Drosophila melanogaster: one gene and its partners. The protein of the gene in region 1 purifies or fractionates together with the protein of each later gene. This does not show direct contact. Each region holds a gene or a part of one and is shown in the gene's direction. Other genes may lie near its edges. The genes, in order: Sec5, Exo84 and Sec6.

What was found.
Region 2: the proteins of Sec5 (region 1) and Exo84 purify together in Drosophila melanogaster (affinity purification with western blotting; one study listed by BioGRID). This does not show direct contact.
Region 3: the proteins of Sec5 (region 1) and Sec6 purify together in Drosophila melanogaster (affinity purification with western blotting; 2 studies listed by BioGRID, with this or other methods). This does not show direct contact.

The regions. Positions count from the first base shown.
Region 1 is NT_033779.5:3,455,661-3,462,387, forward strand, and holds Sec5 (secretory 5), read left to right. Parts: upstream 1-1,641; 5' UTR 1,642-1,745; coding exon 1,746-1,854; intron 1,855-1,924; coding exon 1,925-2,539; intron 2,540-2,593; coding exon 2,594-4,415; intron 4,416-4,472; coding exon 4,473-4,611; 3' UTR 4,612-4,707; downstream 4,708-6,727. Other genes in the region: Cog3 (component of oligomeric golgi complex 3), read right to left, coding at 1-43, 97-584, 642-1,154, 1,211-1,375; CG3246 (uncharacterized protein), read right to left, coding at 4,734-5,720, 5,778-6,046, 6,110-6,191. UniProt on the Drosophila melanogaster protein: Component of the exocyst complex involved in the docking of exocytic vesicles with fusion sites on the plasma membrane.
Region 2 is NT_033777.3:26,048,199-26,054,518, reverse strand, and holds Exo84 (exocyst 84), read left to right. Parts: upstream 1-2,261; 5' UTR 2,262-2,289; coding exon 2,290-2,329; intron 2,330-2,389; coding exon 2,390-2,548; intron 2,549-2,601; coding exon 2,602-2,932; intron 2,933-2,986; coding exon 2,987-3,759; intron 3,760-3,818; coding exon 3,819-4,348; intron 4,349-4,403; coding exon 4,404-4,589; 3' UTR 4,590-4,788; downstream 4,789-6,320. Other genes in the region: Vps2 (vacuolar protein sorting 2), read right to left, coding at 772-1,229, 1,290-1,602; gro (groucho), read right to left, coding at 5,914-6,021, 6,084-6,283.
Region 3 is NT_033778.4:18,622,431-18,628,757, forward strand, and holds Sec6 (secretory 6), read left to right. Parts: upstream 1-2,818; 5' UTR 2,819-2,912; coding exon 2,913-3,884; intron 3,885-3,949; coding exon 3,950-5,194; 3' UTR 5,195-5,288; downstream 5,289-6,327. Other genes in the region: Atg7 (Autophagy-related 7), read right to left, coding at 575-739, 800-1,147, 1,209-1,353, 1,485-1,697, 1,755-2,276, 2,333-2,529; CG5335 (uncharacterized protein), read left to right, coding at 1-158, 215-500; Cth (cystathionine gamma-lyase), read left to right, coding at 5,565-6,327. UniProt on the Drosophila melanogaster protein: Component of the exocyst complex involved in the docking of exocytic vesicles with fusion sites on the plasma membrane.

The DNA.
Region 1 (6,727 bases):
CATGGTGTCATAGAGAATGGTGCACAGACCCTCCAGATAAACCCTGTGGGAAAAATGAGATCAATCCTATTTTCCAACTAGATGTACGAGTATTACGTCAGGTGTGGCGCTCCTGTGCTGAAGAACTGGTAGAACAAACGCTGTTCGTCCTGGCAAACATGCACCAAAAAGGCGCAGGCGCTTCGGGTGAGAGAGCAGTGATCCCCTTTGTGGGCCACCTTAACGTTTTGTATGGACAGATTCACTGCTGGCGACATAACGCTGGCTCTTTGCGCCAAGTAGTGCTGTTGAAGATCCGCCATTAGTTGGGCGTAGTCGAGGCTGTGTTCCGACCGGGACTCAATCAACTGGGCGACCCGCTTCACTTTTGCCGCGGCCGTTTGATATTTGCCGTAGTACAGAGCGAATGCGGCATCTGGTGCCTTGAGAGCAGCGGAGGCATCCGGCATATTGTTCTTGGGATGGAGCGTGGCCTCGGTTGCCTGGTTTATCACACTCGTCACATAGTTACGCACCAGACCCGAGGCTTTGGCCAGGCACTGCCTGTACTTCACATTGTAGGCGGCCGCATCCTTGAATTTGGGCTGTGACAATGAAGGATATTAGTATATACATGACCGAAGTGTAACAGACAAGCTCACATTCTCCTCGATGTAGTTTAGGCATTCGTCGATCTTGTTGAGGCACTCCCGGAACGCTTCGCTAGCCACCGAAAGCGTGGGGCTCTGAAGTCGTTGGTTGAGCAACTCCACCTGGCTGAAGTAGTGCAGACGGCGTTGAATCTCGTGACTCAGCTCCTGCAGTCGCTCCTGCTCCTCGATCAACTGCTCGCTGGCCGTGTTCAGAGCGCTGGTCTTTTGCGACACAAAGTCGTACTCGTCGCAGAGGGCACCCAGGCGCTCCATGGCCCCAGCGATCTGGTCCAGCATGTGGGAGCACTCCGCTTTGCGCTGCTCCAGCTGCTGCAGGTATTTGTGGTAGTCGGCATCGCCACGTTGCTCGATCTCGGCGCTGACGTCCGCGAACCAAAGCAGAAACTCATTGGTGTTCTGGAGTCCCTCCGCAGGTAGTCTGATGTCATCGCCGCTTTGCGAAGTTGCAGCTGCCGATGAATCGGTAGGACCCACCTGGGTGGGCGTAGTCGGTGCCGGTGCCTACAAAGAGTCGGGTTGCAATTATACGATTGCCATTCGAGGAGGAGTCGACTCACCGATGGTCCGCTGTCGCGCCACAGATTGGTCAGGACGTCCAGGTGCTCCTCTTGCTGGATACTCAGAGCCGCCAGCGGGTCCGTTTTGGACTCCCATTGCATCAGGCGATTGCGAATCTTGCGCAAATTCTCATTCTCGCTCTGAATTCGTTCGACGTCATCCATTTTTCTGCGGCGGATTTGGAAACAATCAATCAGCTGTTCAGAGATGACCGGTCTGCGCCTTCCAGTGCTGCTCAGCAAGGAGACTTAGCTAGAACTAAAACTCTTGATTGATATAAGTTGCCTTTATTTGAATGGTATCATATGTTAAGTAATCTTTAATTTTAGATTTAATACATTTTAAGCTCTTTTTATGCTCGTCCGTTTCTTACATAAGTTTTATATTAAATATCTGTCTGTTTAGCTTGGCGATTACTTAGCCAAGATTTCACCACTGACGGGACGTTTTCCATCACTGGCAGCATCAATAAAGTTCTGTTCTCTATTGTTTTTATTGCATTTTGATCAGTTTTTCCGCATCATATAGCATACGATGGCGCCGCAGCCAGTGGTTACGGGGCTATCTCCGAAGGAGGGTCCTCCTGGCACCCGCGTTATCATTCGCGGCGAGTTCCTGGGCACCCGAGTGCAAGATCTAATTGGTAGGCGTAGCCTGTCCCAAATAGCTTCTGTTTTCTGATGACTTTCCCTTCCAAAAAAAAAAAATGTAAGGTCTAAAAATCTGCGGTTCAGATTGTCTGCTGTCGGCGGAGTGGAAATCACCCAATAAAATCATCGCACGCACTGGTCCGGCGAAGGGAAAAGGCGATATCATAGTGACCACTTTAAGCGGCGGAGTGGGCACGTCCACGGTTCAGTTTCGTGCATACCACGAGACCATTGGCCCGCTCAAGGAGTCCGCCGTGTGGATCGAGGAGTCGCCCTCGCAGAATTTTGCCTGGGGTCGGCGCACCCTAGCCCAATCCGGACTGACGCAGGAGGATCCACTTGGGCTGTCCATCGAGGGTAACGAGCAGAAGATCCCCGAGGACCTCCGCGATCTCTTTCCCGAAGCCTGCGGGGATCTGTCGCAGGAGCACTTCTCCCCGGCCTGGTTCCTGCTTGAAAATCACCTGGCCACCTCCTTCGAGGATCTCAAGGCGGGCCTGTCCTACTTGAAGCGGAAAGTGGAGAGCCAGAAGGAAGGTCAGTTGTCCTTCCTCAAGTCCAATGCAGGCTCGGTGATTGACCAGCTCGATACGCTGATGAACATCCGAGACAAGCTGCAGGAGGATGTCAAGCTACACGGCAATGAGACCCTAAATATCTTGGAAACATCCATAGAGAGTGAGTGGGGTTTATAGATTAAGATATTTAATTCTAAAATTGTTCGACTTATAGACTCCATTAGCGAATCGCAAAAGATATTCACGGATGTGCTGGTGCGCAAAGAGAAGGCGGATTCCACGCGGTCCGTTCTGTTCGCCCTGTCGCGGCACAAGTTCCTCTTCTGTCTGCCCAATTCGGTGGACAGACGTGCCAAGGCGGGTGAATATGACATTGTGGTTAACGACTACTCGCGCGCCAAGAACCTCTTTGGCAAGACGGAGATTCCCATTTTCCGCAAGGTGCTCGAGGAGGTCGACCACAGGATTCTGTCAATAAGGAAACAACTGCACGAGAAGGTGGTCAAGATGCCACAGAGCGTGGAGCAACAGAAGAAGCTCATCAAGGCGCTGATCAGTCTGGAACTGCAGCAGAGCGGAACTCCCATTGGCGATAAACTGCGCAACATCGATCCCGCCTGGGATGCCATCGAGGCCAGAGCCAAATATCTGGAGTGGACATTTCGCCAGACATTTGATCAGCACACCAGCAAGGATTCGGGTGCCCAGGAAAAGGCAAAGAACAGGGATTCCAGCCAGGCGCCCAATCGGGTTAACTTCTGCGAAGAACTGTGCGACATTGCCGCCTCCCAGCTGCCGGACTTGTGGCGTCTGGGCCAGCTATACTTCACCGGCGAGCTACGCGGACCTCATGATCCCAAGCCAGGGGATTTCAAGCGAATGGTTTTGAACGCCATCGAGAAGTTCTGTGTCTACTTGAGGTTGGCCATTCTCATTGCCACGGATCAGCGCGCCCTGCGTCAGTCCAGCGGCTTGGCTTGGCCCATCGGCTCCGCATCGGCAACACATCAGTTTCTACCCTGGATTCCGCAGTGCCTGCGTTTCACGAGGATAGCCTATGCCACGCTCATCAGCCTGGATCTGCCCTCGGAAGCGCTGGACATCATACAGAAACTGATCGATGAGGTGCGACTTTTCTGCTTCTCAATTATCTTCAAACGGGCCACGGATCGGTGCAAAAAGCTGGGCAGCCAGGAGACCTGGGAACTGGGCGTGGAGGAATATCCAGGTGCCACATTGTTACCCGCCGCCTTGGAAACATTGCTCATCGAAACGCTGGACGAGGTGCAATCTGTGTGCATGCAAAGGGAGACCCGGGAGGGCAATCTCCTCGAGCCGCAGTCGGATGGACAGAGAGAGGTGACACAGCGACTACAAGAATTCCTATCCGCGTTTAGCGCGGTGATCGAGGAGCTGGCCTTCCACTCCCACGACGAGGAGACGCCCACCCACAATGTGTCGCAGCTACTTGGATTCCCCAATGCCCAGCAGCCAGATTCGGTGGCTGGAAGCGGCGGAGCAGCGGCTGTGACCTGGGAGCAGCGCATGCTCTGTTGCCTGGCCAACTATGCGTACTGCAACAAGATCTTCTTCCCGCGCCTTGGTGACATCTTCGTTCGCTACGGTTACCCGCTGCCCACGCTGGCAATCGAAACTGCTCGCTACACGGTTAACCAGCTCTTTACCAATCTTCTGGAGGAGTACGTCGAGCATAAGGGCGATCCGCTGGTCGGCACCATCGAGCCCTCCATGTATCTGGGTCGTTTCCAGTGGGATCACGAGATGGAGATCGGCCAGCTGCGTCCTTACGCTCACGAGTGCTGCGATAATTTGGTTGGTGTCTACTCCGAGATCTACAGCATTTCACCGGCACTGCTGCGACCCATCCTGGAGTCCATTGTGCAAACCATATCCGAAGAGCTGGCCCGTCTGATGAGCTGTGTCCAGCGCTTTAGCTTCACGGGAGCGATTCAGGCCCACGTGGATATCCGTCTATTGAGGGACTCCCTGGAAGGTTACGTCAATGAGACTGCCAAGTGAGTGATCTAAATGAAATACCTATGAATTTCAATAATTCTTCTAATCTGCAAAAGGAACTACTTCATGGAAGCGCTGGAGGCCATCAATCCGCCCCTGAGTGGCGAGCAGAAGCGTAAGGCGGACGAGATTCTGGAGCGGGTCAAGCGGAACATGCGTCTGCAGCTGCTCTGCTTCAGTGTCAAGGACCCCTAGGCACATTCCACTGCAGGGCGCAGCCCATGTAGATAGCGTATACTTTAAGTAGCTTGTGATTACCCATGTTCTAGGGATAAATCTTTATTCGATTGCATAACTCTCTTACTTACTACCACGACTCACAAGCCCAACAGCTTTGGGTCAAAGTTGAAGTTGTTCTGAGCCATGGTCTTGATGACCTGCTCCACATCGATGGTGTTGAACTTCTCCTGCACACGCTGCTTGATGGGGTTCTCGATGGCGTCCATGATCTGGTAGCGCAGCAGGTTGGGAATGACGTTCACCGCAAACTCCATGACGTAGTCCAGCGTTCCCGCTCCGTCACATCGCACCTGTATGTTGCCCATGTCAAACTGCAGATCGGTGATCTGCGCCCGCTTGCGTGTGTCCAGGGATTGGCTCAGGCCAACGGTGGCGCGTATGTGCTGAACCGTAAATTGTACGTGACCGACGCGTGTCATCATGCCCACACCCACCTCCCACTGGCCGGCTCCCGTCACCTGCTGGGTGCCTATTTGCAGAACGACCGACACCGTTTTGTTGGCCATGCCAGCGGTTATGTTGCCCACGCGGTAGAAGCTAGAGATTCCATTGATCCAGGTGTGTGCTAACTGGACACTGAACACGCCCATGGTGCGATTGACATCAGGCAGGTGGTACGGATCGAAGCCCTTCTGCCGAACCATCTTGCGTGCCATGGCAATGGCGCTGTCCAGCGGCGTTATGGAATTGGGCAGTCGGCGTTCGCCCAAGGTTTTCTGGATCATTACGTTGATCTCGCTGCGCAGCTTTTTGTCCGCCTCCTGGAGCATAAATGGCTTCATGGCGTCGAAGACCAAGTTGGGCGCACCGTTCACCACGCTCTGAAAGACACTGCCCACCAGGCCGAGGTTCTGGAAGTCCATTGTCATGTCCGAGAATGTGATGTCGATCTTGATGCGGTCCGTGGCCAGCTGACCGTCTCGTTCGACGGCCAAGAAGGCGGTTGCCTCGGCATAGACATTCTTCAGGACTACTGTAAAGGGTCCATTGGCTTTCGAAAAGAATGAACTGAGGGTGTACTGGCCCTTGACCAGCATCTGGTCCAGCTGGAGGCCACCGTTGAACTGCAGGACAGAGGAGTGGAAACTTCAAGCCAATTCGAATTCAACTTGAAAACTTACTCTCATTTCCTTCAGGTCTAGGTTCATTTTATCAATGCGGAACTTGGACAAGCCATACGCCTTGACCTGCTTCATGTCCAGATTGGCCATGCCCATGCTCTTCTTCACATTGGGCACCTCCAACGGATCGGGCACGGGCACGCCGGGCAGACCCTGCGGATCCTCCTGCTGAAAGTGCACGAGCATGGCCTCCACCTGGGCGGCTATGCTGGCCTGACTCTCTTTGATCTTAAGTGCGTCATCCGACTCGCTGGCTTCCTGCTCCACAGCTGCTCAAAGGTCATTAATGAGTGGCTTAGTTCCGGTAGAGCTCAGACTGGAATTCGTCTTACCATCGCCAGGCTCCTGGGAGTGAACAATGTGGCAGCCACTTGCCATCAGGCCCACGAGCACGACCACTATCAACGGCTTCATCTTTCGGGGATTAGCTGGAGCTTCTGCTTATCAGTTGGAAAATGGAAGAAAACGCGCCAGCCTCCGTTCTCTACTCGGAACAAACACGCACTGTCGACTGGCGCGTTAATCAAAAGATAATGATGAGCCGCAGGCGGCGATCCGCTTATCTAAGGGCGACTCTGCTCGCGGAGCTGCTGATTAAACTCGGAATTGAGATTGAGTGACTTAAGTGAGCGGAAGCGGCCAGCACATTGTAGGCACTCATGGAACTCACTCCACTCCCAGGAACGATGTTCTAGAAATCATGAACTAGCAGCTTGCATGAGGCAAAGAGTGTTACGGTTCGAAAACGGTTTTGAAACCCAAAGAAAATCGCGCATTTTTCTGTAGTAGCAATGCTCATTTTTATTTGAATATTTTAATAGTTATATGTTCGCATATATAATATGGGTATATATGGCTTACTTGAATTGTTGTTCTTAATCCTAGGTTCACGTGCTCAAAAAAATTCATGCTCAAAAAAAGTCTTAGCCTATTCAAAAAAATGTCTTAGC
Region 2 (6,320 bases), on another chromosome or scaffold:
CCCTCTAAAAAAATACATATATACGCTTGTTAATAGTAATGCATAAGGTACTTTTTCTTCACCCCGATAAGATACAAGATACACATGAAGTTTAGTATACCCAATCAAGGAAAGCGGAGGTACACACACACTTTTTAATATCGAGTAAAAAATGGAGCTAGGCAAAAGTTATTCTGGAATTATATGTTATCTAAAGCAAATGGATTGAGAACTATTTTAAATGTAGGAACGTTAAAGAGCAATAAACAATAAATTAAATCCCCTGTTCATATTATGACATTTAAAACAAGTTTTCTTATTTATACAAGTGCTATGTGATTTTCATTTTTCAAGTGTTTTACATATTTCTATAGTACCCAATAGTACAAATTTAGGAAAGTACTTCTTTTTATTCAGATAAACACAATTTTGCATTTATAGTTAAAGCTGAATATATGTATATACATATATATATAATTTCATGATTTGGAAATTCCTTTTTCTTATTTTATTGAAGACAGGCATGAAACGTACATATCTTTTAAAATACCGAATATTGTATAGCTCTAAAGTAACAAGTATTGCGAATTTGTTTGTAGCTAGGCTGTGCGATTGCAGCACTACCCAGTTCTTTCCATTATAGCTTGTAAATGCTAATTACTCATCGATTTTTCAAACACGCAGGGAACGAAAATCACAAGCATTCTCTTTAATATAACATTCGCTTCTGGGAGATACAAACGGGTGGTGGCTCTTACATAAAGTGGACAGGCAGTGGTTCTTAGTAGCGGCTCAATCCTTGCGCAGCTTATCCAGGCGCGCCTGAAGATCCGCATCGGCATCGGACATGGGCGATGAGGCACCACTGCCACCGGGAGCTCCCGGACCACCAGCGCCGCCACCACTAGCTCCACCTCCGCCGGCGGCTCCACCGCCGCCAACGCCACCAGCGGCCACAGCCTGTGCTTTCTGAGCGCCAGCGCCGCCGGCTATGGAAAGGGAACCGGAGGCGGAAGGAAGGTCTCCCAGCTGTTCGCCCAATTGCAGACCCAGTTCGTCCAGCACCTGGGACACAACAGCATCCGTCTCCTCCTCGTCGCCCTCGTCCTCCATGGCGTCATCGATGGCATCGTTGATCATCTCCTCCTTCATGTCCATCATTTCCGACTGTTTCTCGAAGTCCTGCAGGATCTTCTGGATTTGCGGGAGATTCAGCTGGCGGTTCATGTTCTGCATGGCCTTCGTGACACCTGGAAGATAAGCATAATTGCTTGATAAGCGGGTGAATCAGCCAAATAGCCAATGTTTACCTTTCATGGCCTGTGCCATTGTGTTCTGCGACTTGAGCGTCTGAATTTTGAGGGACACCGCCTGGATGTTTGCCTTCATCAGCATGAACTTCTTGGCATACCGCCGCGTGCGCACCAGATCCTTGGCCATGATCTTCACGGCATCCATTTGACCCTCCTTGGCCATCTTCTTGATATCCGCGATAATCTTCTTCTCCTGCTGCTCCATTTTCATCCGCTCGCGGTCCAGATCTCGCATCGCTTTGTTGAGCGCCCGCTGATTCTTACGCAGCATCTCATCGGGGCTGATCTTCTTGCCGAATAGCCAGTCCATGTTTAAGGATATCTTAACTGCAAGATTTAATTACGAAGAATGACGGAGTTTCCTAAAGATTACTCATCAACCAAAACAATAAGCGAAGGGTGTGCGCGATTCTAAGGTGGCCAAGACGTGTTGGCGCTTACATGCGAATAGTGCTAGTGGGAAGAAGAAGCTTTGCCGGTGCACTCTGAAAGAACTGTTCACACTTCAACTTAGTGAATTAGCAACAGGTGGAAAATAATTTTAATTTATTACAATACAACACACACACATTGTAATGAATAGTATACATATAGACATATGTCTTCTTGATTTTTAACGTAGATCTTTGACGTAGTCGTTTATATTTAAAAGTTCAGTTCGAATAAAAAGTATTCAGGGCTTCAACGCCTAATCATACCTAAGATGAAAATCCGAAATGTAAATGCGAATAAATTTGTTGATCTCTAAAAGGTCTTTGACGTAGCCGTTCAGTTCGAATAAAACTTTTCATAGGTTTTAAATCTTAATTAATCTCCTATTACTTAAAACTAAATAAAAATGTTCTAGATTTATAGATTTATCTAATACCAGGGAAAACTGCAGTGAAAACATGGCATTTTCTATAGCATCAGCAACCTTACAATCGACACCTCATGATGACGCTCGTTCGTTGTGAATGGCTCTGCGTCAGCTGCAGTTTACATTCCAATCAGAATCATGAAGGAGTTCGACGATTTTAATTTTAGCGTTGAGAAATGTAAGTATTCCTATGTCTATTTAGCATTAATCAGTCTACTAATAAGTACAACGTTCCCAGATACCAAGGACCTGACACGAGAATGTGTGGGTGGCAGCGATTTGCAGCAGCGAAAAAAGGAAATCGAGGCCTACAACGAAACGACGGCAGCAACGCTCAAGCAAACATGCAAAAAGAACTATATGGAGTTTATACAGACGGCCAAGGAGATATCACGTAGTTTACGCCCCCCAATATCAATATACATTTATGTTAATATTTTCGCATCGCAGATCTCGAGTCGGAAATGTATCAACTGTCGCACATTCTGATTGAGCAGCGCAATATTCTGGCCACCATGACGGATGGCAAGACTTCCAGTCACCTGAAGGCAGAGAGTTTGGAGGCGGAGAGCACTACGGCGACGGAGGATCTGGAGAATAGCCATGCCACGCGGGCGGTCAAGGAAATGGTCCAGGGCTTCAATGGCAATCTGGAAGGCAAGACCTTCCTCAACGAGGGAGCTCTAATCGAGTTGGACAGTAATGATTATCGACCCATTCAAAGGGTCTTCTTTTTCCTCTTCAACGATGTACTGATTGTCTGCAAAGTGAAGCATGATAAGTAGGTTTTCCTATACTAAAGCATATAGCAAAAACTAATAGTAATATTTTTCAGGCGCTTGGATTTCCTCACCGAGTACGACCCCAAGAAAATAGCCGTGATTAACATTAAGGACTTGGATGGCGTTAAGAATGCCATTAATATCATTACTCCAGATGGTTCCAAGATCTATCAAAGCATCACGGCTGCTGGGAAGACGGAGTGGATAGAGAAGCTCGAAGAGGCCTTCCGCTTTGACCAGCAAAAGAAACCAAAAAAGGGCCAGGCGCCACAGCCTCCAACTCGGGCCAAACAGCAGTCAAAAGCTTCGACTCCGGAGAAGGAAACCACACCCCAGAGTCCCGGACAGCCCAAATCCCTGGAGGATGAGACGCCCGAGTGGCTAAGCACGGCCAGTGAAGAGATTCAGACCCTGGTGGCCCAACGGCATTTCGAGGATGCCCAGGAGCTGATAAAGCGAACCCAGGACTTCTTGCGAAACGAGAACCGAAAGAAGTTGCCACTAGCGGACGCCATTGAAACCAAGGTGAAGCAGCAGGAGCTGAAGCTGATCAATGTGCTGCTCAAGGAGTTGTCCAACAGTCACAATCGCAATCTGCAGATCGCTCTGAGAGCAGCCAAGCGGCCTCTGAAGATTCTCGTAGAGATGGGTCGCTATCGGCAGGCGAGTGCCACTCTGCTGAAGGTCTGCGCCGTCAGTTTGCGGGTGGCGCAACGGGAGGCGCGCAGGAATAATGCGGATATATCGGAACTCTTCTTTTGTGACCTGACGCAGGTGGCCTGTGATTTTCTCACCGCCTTTGAGAAGCAACCGGCGTGCGTTAGCGGTAAGCTTCATTCCTATTTCTGTCTACATTTAAGTATTACTACTATCTAATTCTTGCAGCGCTCGTGGTTTGGTGCAATGCGGAGCTGCAATATTTTGCCAGCCAACTGATAAAGCATTACCTGACCAAGGGAACCTCCCTGGAGTCAGTGGCCAAATGTGTGGAGCGAGTGCGCAAGCCCTCGACAAAGCTCACAGAGATCGGGCTGGACATTAGTTATCATTTGGAAGGTCTGTTGCGCACTACACTCGAGTCGCTCATAGAGGAATCCAAGGAGCGACTGCTGGACTCCGTGGGTCGCACCGAGGAGAGCTGGCAGCCGTACAATTTGCAGACCAAGTCGAACCTGAAGCGTCTGCTCCTGGAGCTCGATGTCTTGGGTATCGATGTGCGAGCCCAGGCGACGGGCGACACATGGATTAATCTCACCCAGTCGACAGTGGTTTTCATCAGACACTTCCTGCAGCTCACCGAGTACTGCGGCTGTCTGGCCAAGTGCGAAACCCTGCTGCAGAGCCTGGAACTGCTTCTTAAGGAGCTGTTCATTGCCCAGCATTCGTTGAAACCGCCCAGCGACATGGCCGTGGATGTAAGTTAGAAAGCAGCTTAAATAAAACCGCTCTCTTCAAGAATGCCATTTTCAGCCCAACTTTGTAATGAAGAACAAGATTTTTCTGGTGGACAACCTGCTGCCCATCGCCATCGACAAGTTTCGACAGATTTCTGGACGCCAGTGCGAGGGATTGCGCGAGTTGCACACGAAAATGTCCCGCCAGCAAGGTGCTCCAGTGCCGCGCCAGCGCAGCGTCTACACCACAGATGTGTTTTAGATGCACGCCGTGGGATTTACTTTCGATTACATATAATTTTTTATTTTTTCGTTTTGCTTCAATTATTTATAATATAATTATATACATATATAACCACAATAATAATAATATTTGTAAAATTAAAAATCGAAGCGTGTGCTGCACTCTATCTCTTGCTTATTACAATTTCGCCGCTCGCATTATATATATAATTGTAAATATATATAAATCGATTCGTTTTCTGTTTTTCATATATATACTCTAAACACTAAACAATTTAGCTGTGTTCTACTTTTCGGTTTCGGTTGTTGATGCGGCTCTCTCTGTGTTGGGTTTAGCTGCTCAAAATATAGGATTTTACACTTGGTTCTGAAGAGTTGAGTTTGATTCACACAATTAATTCCTCGATTTTCTCATTACACATTTTCTCAAATTACATACAAGCAAAGCGGACTGCTCTGAGCTTCTAACTACTGACCCCCAATGCGAGTGAGTGTTTCGAAAGTGGTTTCCGTGTTTAATTTATAATGTAAAACTCTTAACTAAAATGCTTACTAAGTATATTCATTTATAATTATATATATATATATATATATATACCTTTTATGCAAATGTGTTTTGTGTTTTTCGTATGTTGTGTTTGTGTGTGTGTGGTGTGTGTTTGGAGGGACGTTGGGAGGTAAGGAAACTGACAACTTAAAATTACATTTGTTGTTGCATTCGCTGTCTGACTTTTCAGCTAAATTACAAAAACCGCTCACATAAAACAAACTAAAAGCACTCGCATCGTATTTGTATTTAACTCCTTTTGTTCAGCTGGTAATCATAATCTCAACGCTCCTGCAATTGCAATGACTGACTAATTCCACTTATCCTCCTATTTGTTTTTATGTTAAGATGAACGTAGGTAGGTATCGCCGACTTTTTATGTTTCTGTTTCCGGTTTCATTTTGTTAATTTTACAACATACTCGTTTCTGTTGCTCGCATGCATTATCATTTTATTTCGCTCTGGTTCTCATTTTACTTGAATTCTTCTTTACTTGCAATTTGTGTGTTCAACTTGTTGGTTTGTTTTTATTTATTGGACTTAGCTTAGGCTTAGTAGCTACAAGTACGCTTAAAATTTTAGTTTTCCTTTTTCTTGTATATATATTATAGAATTTTCATTTTTGCTTCGCTTTTTGATGCGTTGCTACTGCCGCCTTTCTGCTTTTCTTTTTTTGTTTTACTGCCGATGCTGCTGCTGTTGTTTTTGTTGTTGTTATTTGCATGATTTCGAACATGTTGTAATAAAAACTATACGAGCTTATTACAAAATGAAAAAACTGCATGGTTTTGTGGATTTAATAAATAACTTCGTAGACAGTAGCCTTCTTATCGCCCGAACCCGTCACAATGTATTTGTCGTCAGTTGATATGTCGCAGCTAAGTACGGATGATGTTTCCTTCGACTGAAAAACGTCCAGTATTTTAATTGAGGATTTCCTTTAATATGATAAGGATGTGTGCTTACCTGGAATATGCTGGCACCGTAAGGTGTTCGCCATGCGTTAAGCAGGTTGTCTTTGCCGGTGGAAACGAACCATTTGCCGCAGGCGGCAAAGCGCAGCGACAGAACGCAGCTCTCGTGCAGATGCAGTTGATACTTGTCCGGTTTCGATGCGTGCAGCACCTCCACATGCGAGTTCTCCATACCCACAGCCAGCCAGTCGCCTAATGGATAATACAAATTATGTTATTTCTAGATGAT
Region 3 (6,327 bases), on another chromosome or scaffold:
GGCCATGTGATTGTCCTTACAGCTCGGTGTTTCGAGAATAAAAAGGGACAGTTCATAATCAAGTTCATGGACTCGGATACCAAGCGCGAAGAGCTACACTTCAGTGTGCGTTTCGATGAGAAGGCAGTAGTGCGCAATTCCATGAACAAAAATTTTGAGTAAGTTAACTTTATAATGCCGTACCTCTTTGGGCGTTAACTAATTCTTTTTATAGATTCGGAAGCGAGGAGCGTCATGGAGGTTTCCCCTTCGTCTTTAACCAGCAATTCAAGCTGGCGCTTGCGTTTACGGAACGCGAGGTTTTGACTGCAGTGGACGGTTATAACTTCTTCAGCTACACCTGGCGCACACCTAATGCCATGATGAATCTAGTGGGTTTCAAGGTGACCAGCATAAATGGCCTGGTAGTGCAGATAACTGGTGTGGATCACCTGCAGACGGGGGATCCTACGTGCGCTGGCTTCGAAAAATATTCCCGCCATGATTACGAATGCGTTTAGTAACCATGTTAACCCAACTAATGAAGTCTGAAAATACAAATGTTATCTTAAACTATACAACAAATGGGACTTACATTTCCAGGGGCCGTAACATCGTTACAAAAGTAGCAACCTAATTGATCGCCATTAATGCACTTAAGTCCTTCGATTTCTTGGCCATCGTCGCCTGCTTCCTTACGCGTAGTGCCATGTCGCATTACCAGATAACTGTCAAAGCCTAAAGCTGCGTTGATGACAATCTATAAGGGAAACATTTTAGGTACATCTCTTCTGAAAGGTGAGTATATGATTGTTCCCACTTTTTCCTTTGCCGCTCCAAGCAGGGTGGGCAGCCAGCGGCTTTCGCGCGAATCTGTGAGCAGAAAGATGACATCATGGTCCTGCACAAGCTTTTCGATAACCTTCAAATGCTCCTTCGTCTGGGCTAGAAGCGATTCTCCAATAGTATGCCCAGGCATGGGAATCTCCAGCACATAACCCGCCGTTTCCGCAGACGGATTGATCTCTTTCAATCTCTGAGCAGCTGTAGTCGCCTTCATCCGATTGCCTGCCACAGCATCTGCATGCGTGTAGAGATTCTGACGCACTGGATTAGAGAACCCAACCTTGCCGCTGTCCAAAAGGGTTATGTGCTTAAATCCCCAGGACTACAAAATAAATAAACTATTAGTTATCAGATCAGTTAAATCATTTCGTATAAAAGCACACCAGCAGATTTCTAGCTACAGCGCATCCTAAAGTACCAGCTCCAAAGAGCAGGCATTTTGTTTGGGAGATGATTTCGAGATTGAGATCGGGAACAAGGCGCCACTTCATTAGTTTCAGGTTCAGGTTTACAGAGTTCTCAGCGAGTCTACGGAAAGAAATATTGTTAAATTATAAATAATAAACAAGTTACTTTCAACTGTCGTGGTAGCTAACACTAAGGACACACCTCAATGAACTGATAGTTCTTATCATTTAAGTCTATAGCTATTAACTTACTTGGCTGGATCCATGCTGTCCCTCATGCACACCATTCTTGGCCCCATTTTGCCATTTTTATTTAGCTCCCAGCCCACGAACTTTATATTTTCGCTTTGGCTAAGATCGCAAGCTTCAGTCTGAATCACCTTCCATACAAGGCTGTCATCGATGTTCATTTGTTGATTGTGTCGCAGGCCAAGAAACTTCAATGGTTTTCCAACAAAAGAGGGACTGTAATAGACCGACAACTGTGTGAACTGATATCATAACATTGCTATTCCTACCTACCATTGCTGAAGCAGAAAGGCAGCATAGTTTCGCATTATCCAAGCTGGATGCTCATACTCGCTGGGATCAGCAAAACCAAAATAACAGAACTCAACATTTTTATCGTCAAGGGAACTTAAACTACGGGCTTCGAAAATGTTCTTCTCCACATTAGCATACAGAATGAAGAAGTTCTGTGACTCAGTGGGTAAGGCCTTTAGAGCCATTATATAGCTACTACTATTGGGCAAGTCCCGCAGTTTTTGGACGGCTCCCTGAAGCTTTAAGGTGGGCGTCAGCGGGCACGGAAAGGCGAACCAATAGTAGTAGCTGTGACACTTTAAATCGGCAAAGGAGAGAACAAAGAACCGGGTCAATAGACTGGGATCTCTCAAGGCGCCACCACTGCACATATCAGCCAGCAGTTCCTTGCCCTCATCGGCCAGCAGTTGTAATTTGTCCAGGGCCTTGAACTCTTCGATTGTGTTCTTATTGTAGATGGTGCCTATAGCGGAATGGCTGAATTTTGGAGGCTTTGCCATTCTGGAATGTGGGTGGTCAAGCGCTGGTTTCATCAAACTCGTAGTTTTCAAGCTCACCTGTTGTAGGCCGTGTAGTCTACTTCCAAAAGGCATCCACTTGCATTACGATTTGTGTAGTGTCCAGTAATGGAGCGTTTCGAGTCGGACAGGCGATCGTGGTCGAGCTTAAGCTCCGCTAGCTTGTGCCAGAAAGTGGGCGACACAAAAGATTCCCACGGAGCAAATTGCAAAATTATCTCTTTTTCCGTGCTCATGTTTTGCTTAGGGCGTTGTTTACGTTCAAACGTTTGGCTGCAAATTATAAACAAACAAAGCTCTCGATGGCGATAGACCAATGAGAAGATAACTTATCGATAAGTACAGTTTTCCATACTTAGGTCGAATCCTCTGTTGCTTTGGCAAACTAAAAGATATACTTTAACTTCATAATTTTTTAAGCTTGAAGAATAAAATAAAAATTTTAAGACACAATAAAACTATAATAATTTTAAGAGTAGAATATAGCTTATTGTCAAGTTACACTGTAGTTCTTGGAAGTGAGATTGTCAGCCGCACTGCTATATGGTCACACCAGCACTTCCACTGCTGACGAAGATTGACCAAAACAGAGACTGAAAGTGATCCAAATAAATTGAAGATGGATTTACAGCAGCTGGAGGAGCAGGCTCGCCAGGCAGCGCTCAAGGACATACAGAACATGTTGCAGCGACCAGGTCAACTGGAGAAGGTGGAACAATATCGCCACCGAATCGCCCGGAAGAAGGCATCCGTTGAGGCGCTCCTTAAGACCGGAATGCAAGGACAGCTGGACGGGGTCAGGGTGGGACTTAAGCAGTTGGAGACCTGCATGCAGGACGTGCGCGAGGTAAGGCGTCGAATGGACGAGGTGGAGCGCCTGCTGAGGGGCGTTCCCGAAGTCTACGACGCTTTGGAAGTTGTGCGGGAGGAAAACACAAAGCACTCCCAGTACGCCACCGCCATGGAGAATCTGAAGCACATCTTCAACGTAGATGCCAGCGTACAAAAGACGATGGCGCTGATCGAGGATGATAAGCTGCTTAATGCCCATCAGTGCCTGGCGGATCTGGAGAATTCGCGGGATGATCTTCTCTACGAACTGCACAAGCAGCCCAAGCAGCATGCGTCCGACAAGATCACCCTAAAGCGTCACTTCGAGAAGGTTGACACGGTATCCCAAGAGCTGGAGAAAAAGCTGCGACTCATTCTTAGCCGCACGCTGAACACTCTGCGCAAGAAGCCCACCATCATCGTTACCGCCCTACGCATCATAGAGCGGGAAGAGAAAAACGACCAGTTCGCGTTGCAGCAGCAAAAGGTCACAGGATTCCTGCCGCCTGGAAGACCAAAGGCTTGGCGCCGCATGATCATGGACGTGCTACAACAGTCGGTGATAACGCGCATAGAGGGATCCAAGCTAGAGGAGCGGGCCGATAACAAGATGTGGTTAGTACGAGACCTGGAGATATTGCGTCAAATCATTCTCGAGGATCTGCGCGTTGTGAAGTCCCTTTGTGTGCCCTGCTTCCCGCCGCACTACGACATTTTCGGCGAATATGTCAAGTTCTATCACGAAGGACTTTCTAGCTATGTGAGTAATCGTCAATCATTTAAATTGATTAATGTTTTTATACCACTAATATTTACTAATTCCAGCTTGACAACATTGTGCGCTCGGGCTTGGAGGGCAATGAATATGTATCAATGATGGCTTGGGTTACACACACCTATCCTGGCGTCGAGCTGATGTCCCATCCGGATCTTAATGTGGATGTACACCGACAGATAGGTACTCTGCTGCGTCCGGAACATCTCAAAGCGCTGGAAGATGAATATCTGCAAAATATGCAGAGAAACTTCCAGGAATGGATGACCAAGGCCGCAGAAACGGAGAAGCAGGAGTGGTTTACTGAGACGGTGCCCGATCAGGATGAGGAGTACTACCACACTTCAGCGCCTGTCATCATATTCCAGATGATCGACCAGCATCTGCAGGTGACCAACACAATTCATCAGGAACTGACGTTCAAGGCGTTGGTAATGAGCATTCAGCAGGTGGAGATCTTTGGCCAGACATATCTTAAGAACGTAATCGAGCTGAAGGAACACCATTTTCGCAATCGGGACCAGATCAAATACTTCACTCACTACATCATCACCATCGTGAATAACAGTCAGCAAATGGTTGAACTGGCGCAGCAGATGAAACAACTCTACTGGCCCAAGTCACGTACTGAGCATTATGAGGATTTCGAACGTTTGCTTGCCACATTCCAGCGGATCCGGGCTCATGCCGCAAGTTACTTGCTGGAGGAAGCCTTCCTGGACATGGAGTGTCACTTTAACGACCTATTCACTGCCAAGTGGCTGGCCAGTAACATTGCCGTGGACACCATTTGTGTAACGCTGGACGATTACTTCCAGGACTATAATCACCTGCGACCCAATAACTTCGAGATGGTCATCAACGAGGCCCAGAAGCTGCTGGCCAAGCGCTACATTAGGGCACTGCTATCCAAGCGACTGTCTAAGCCACGGGCCGAGTGCGATGCCATTACGCGAAAAATCAAGACCGAAGCCAAGCGGTTTAAGCTCTTCTTTGAGAAAATCGCGCCGAAGATTTCCCTCAGCGACTCTCCATTGGATCTTATATCCACGCTATCGGCACTGCTTAGCTCGGATATCGAACTGCTCGTCTTGGACCTGCACACCTTGCTGGGCAGCTATCCGTCTCTGAACGAGGACCACCTGGTACGGCTCTTTTACATTCGCAACGATGTGAAGGCGGCCGAGGTGCGCGAGAAGGTGCAGGATGCCATGAAGTCGAAGAAGGCAATGGTCAGCATCGCCAAGCAGGATTGCATCTTCAAGGAGATCGTGTTCAGCGACAAACTGTGGTAGACCTTGGAGTATAGTTCCCAACCCATTCCGCATGTCCCTTTCTGTTCAGTATCGTATTTACTCTTAAGCTGCGATTGTAATATTATTGTGCTTTATCAACAAATAAATTATTGTATAAATAATCGAAGAAGTTCTAAGGAAAGTAAGAATATCCATCGTTTCAATGCATATATGTATCGTTACTTTTGAAGGGTTCCGTTTTCTAGCCGTTTAATAGCTAGAGCTCCATCACTGTCGGCGAATGTAGTGTTGTAACGGTCGAAATATTTAATTACCGGCTAGGCGATAACATCTGGCAGGAGTATATATATTCGCGACGGTCTCTCTCCACGTGTCAGTCAGTTCCCAACGATCCTCCTACCCAGACAAGATGAGCTACAGAGTCCAGCCGAGCGGCTTCGCCACCAAGTCCATCCACTCGGGCCAGAGCCCCGACCAGTGGAAGAGTGCTGCCGTGATTCCGCCGATATCGCTGAGCACCACCTTCAAGCAAGATGCACCGGGCGAGCACAGGGGCTATGAGTACTCCCGCAGTGGAAATCCCACTAGGAACGTGCTGGAGACGTGCTTCGCCGCCTTGGATAATGCCAAATACGGCCTCACGTTCTCATCGGGATTGGGAGCCACCACCGCTGTGCTAACTATGCTGAGCAGCGGCGATCACATCATCATGGGCGACGATGTTTACGGAGGCACCAACCGTTTGATCCGACAGGTTGCCACCCGTCTGGGAATCTCAGCCACCTTTGTGGATCCCACGAAGTTGGATCTAATTAAAAGTTCCATCAAGCCGGAGACCAAGTTGGTGTGGATCGAGTCACCAACTAATCCATTGGTAAAGGTAGCCGACATCGAGGCTATTGCGCAGCTGGTCCATGGAGTACGCGAGGATATCGTCCTGGCCGTCGACAACACCTTCCTGACCTCCTACTTCCAGCGACCCTTGGAGCTGGGCGCTGATCTGGTCTGCTACTCCCTGACCAAGTACATGAACGGTCATACGGATGTGGTCATGGGTGGCATCACCATGAACTCGGAGAAGCTCTACAAAAGCTTGAAGTTCCTGCAGAACGCAGTGGGCATTGTGCCGTCTCCATTCGACTGCTATCAGGTGAACAGAAGTCTTAAGACGC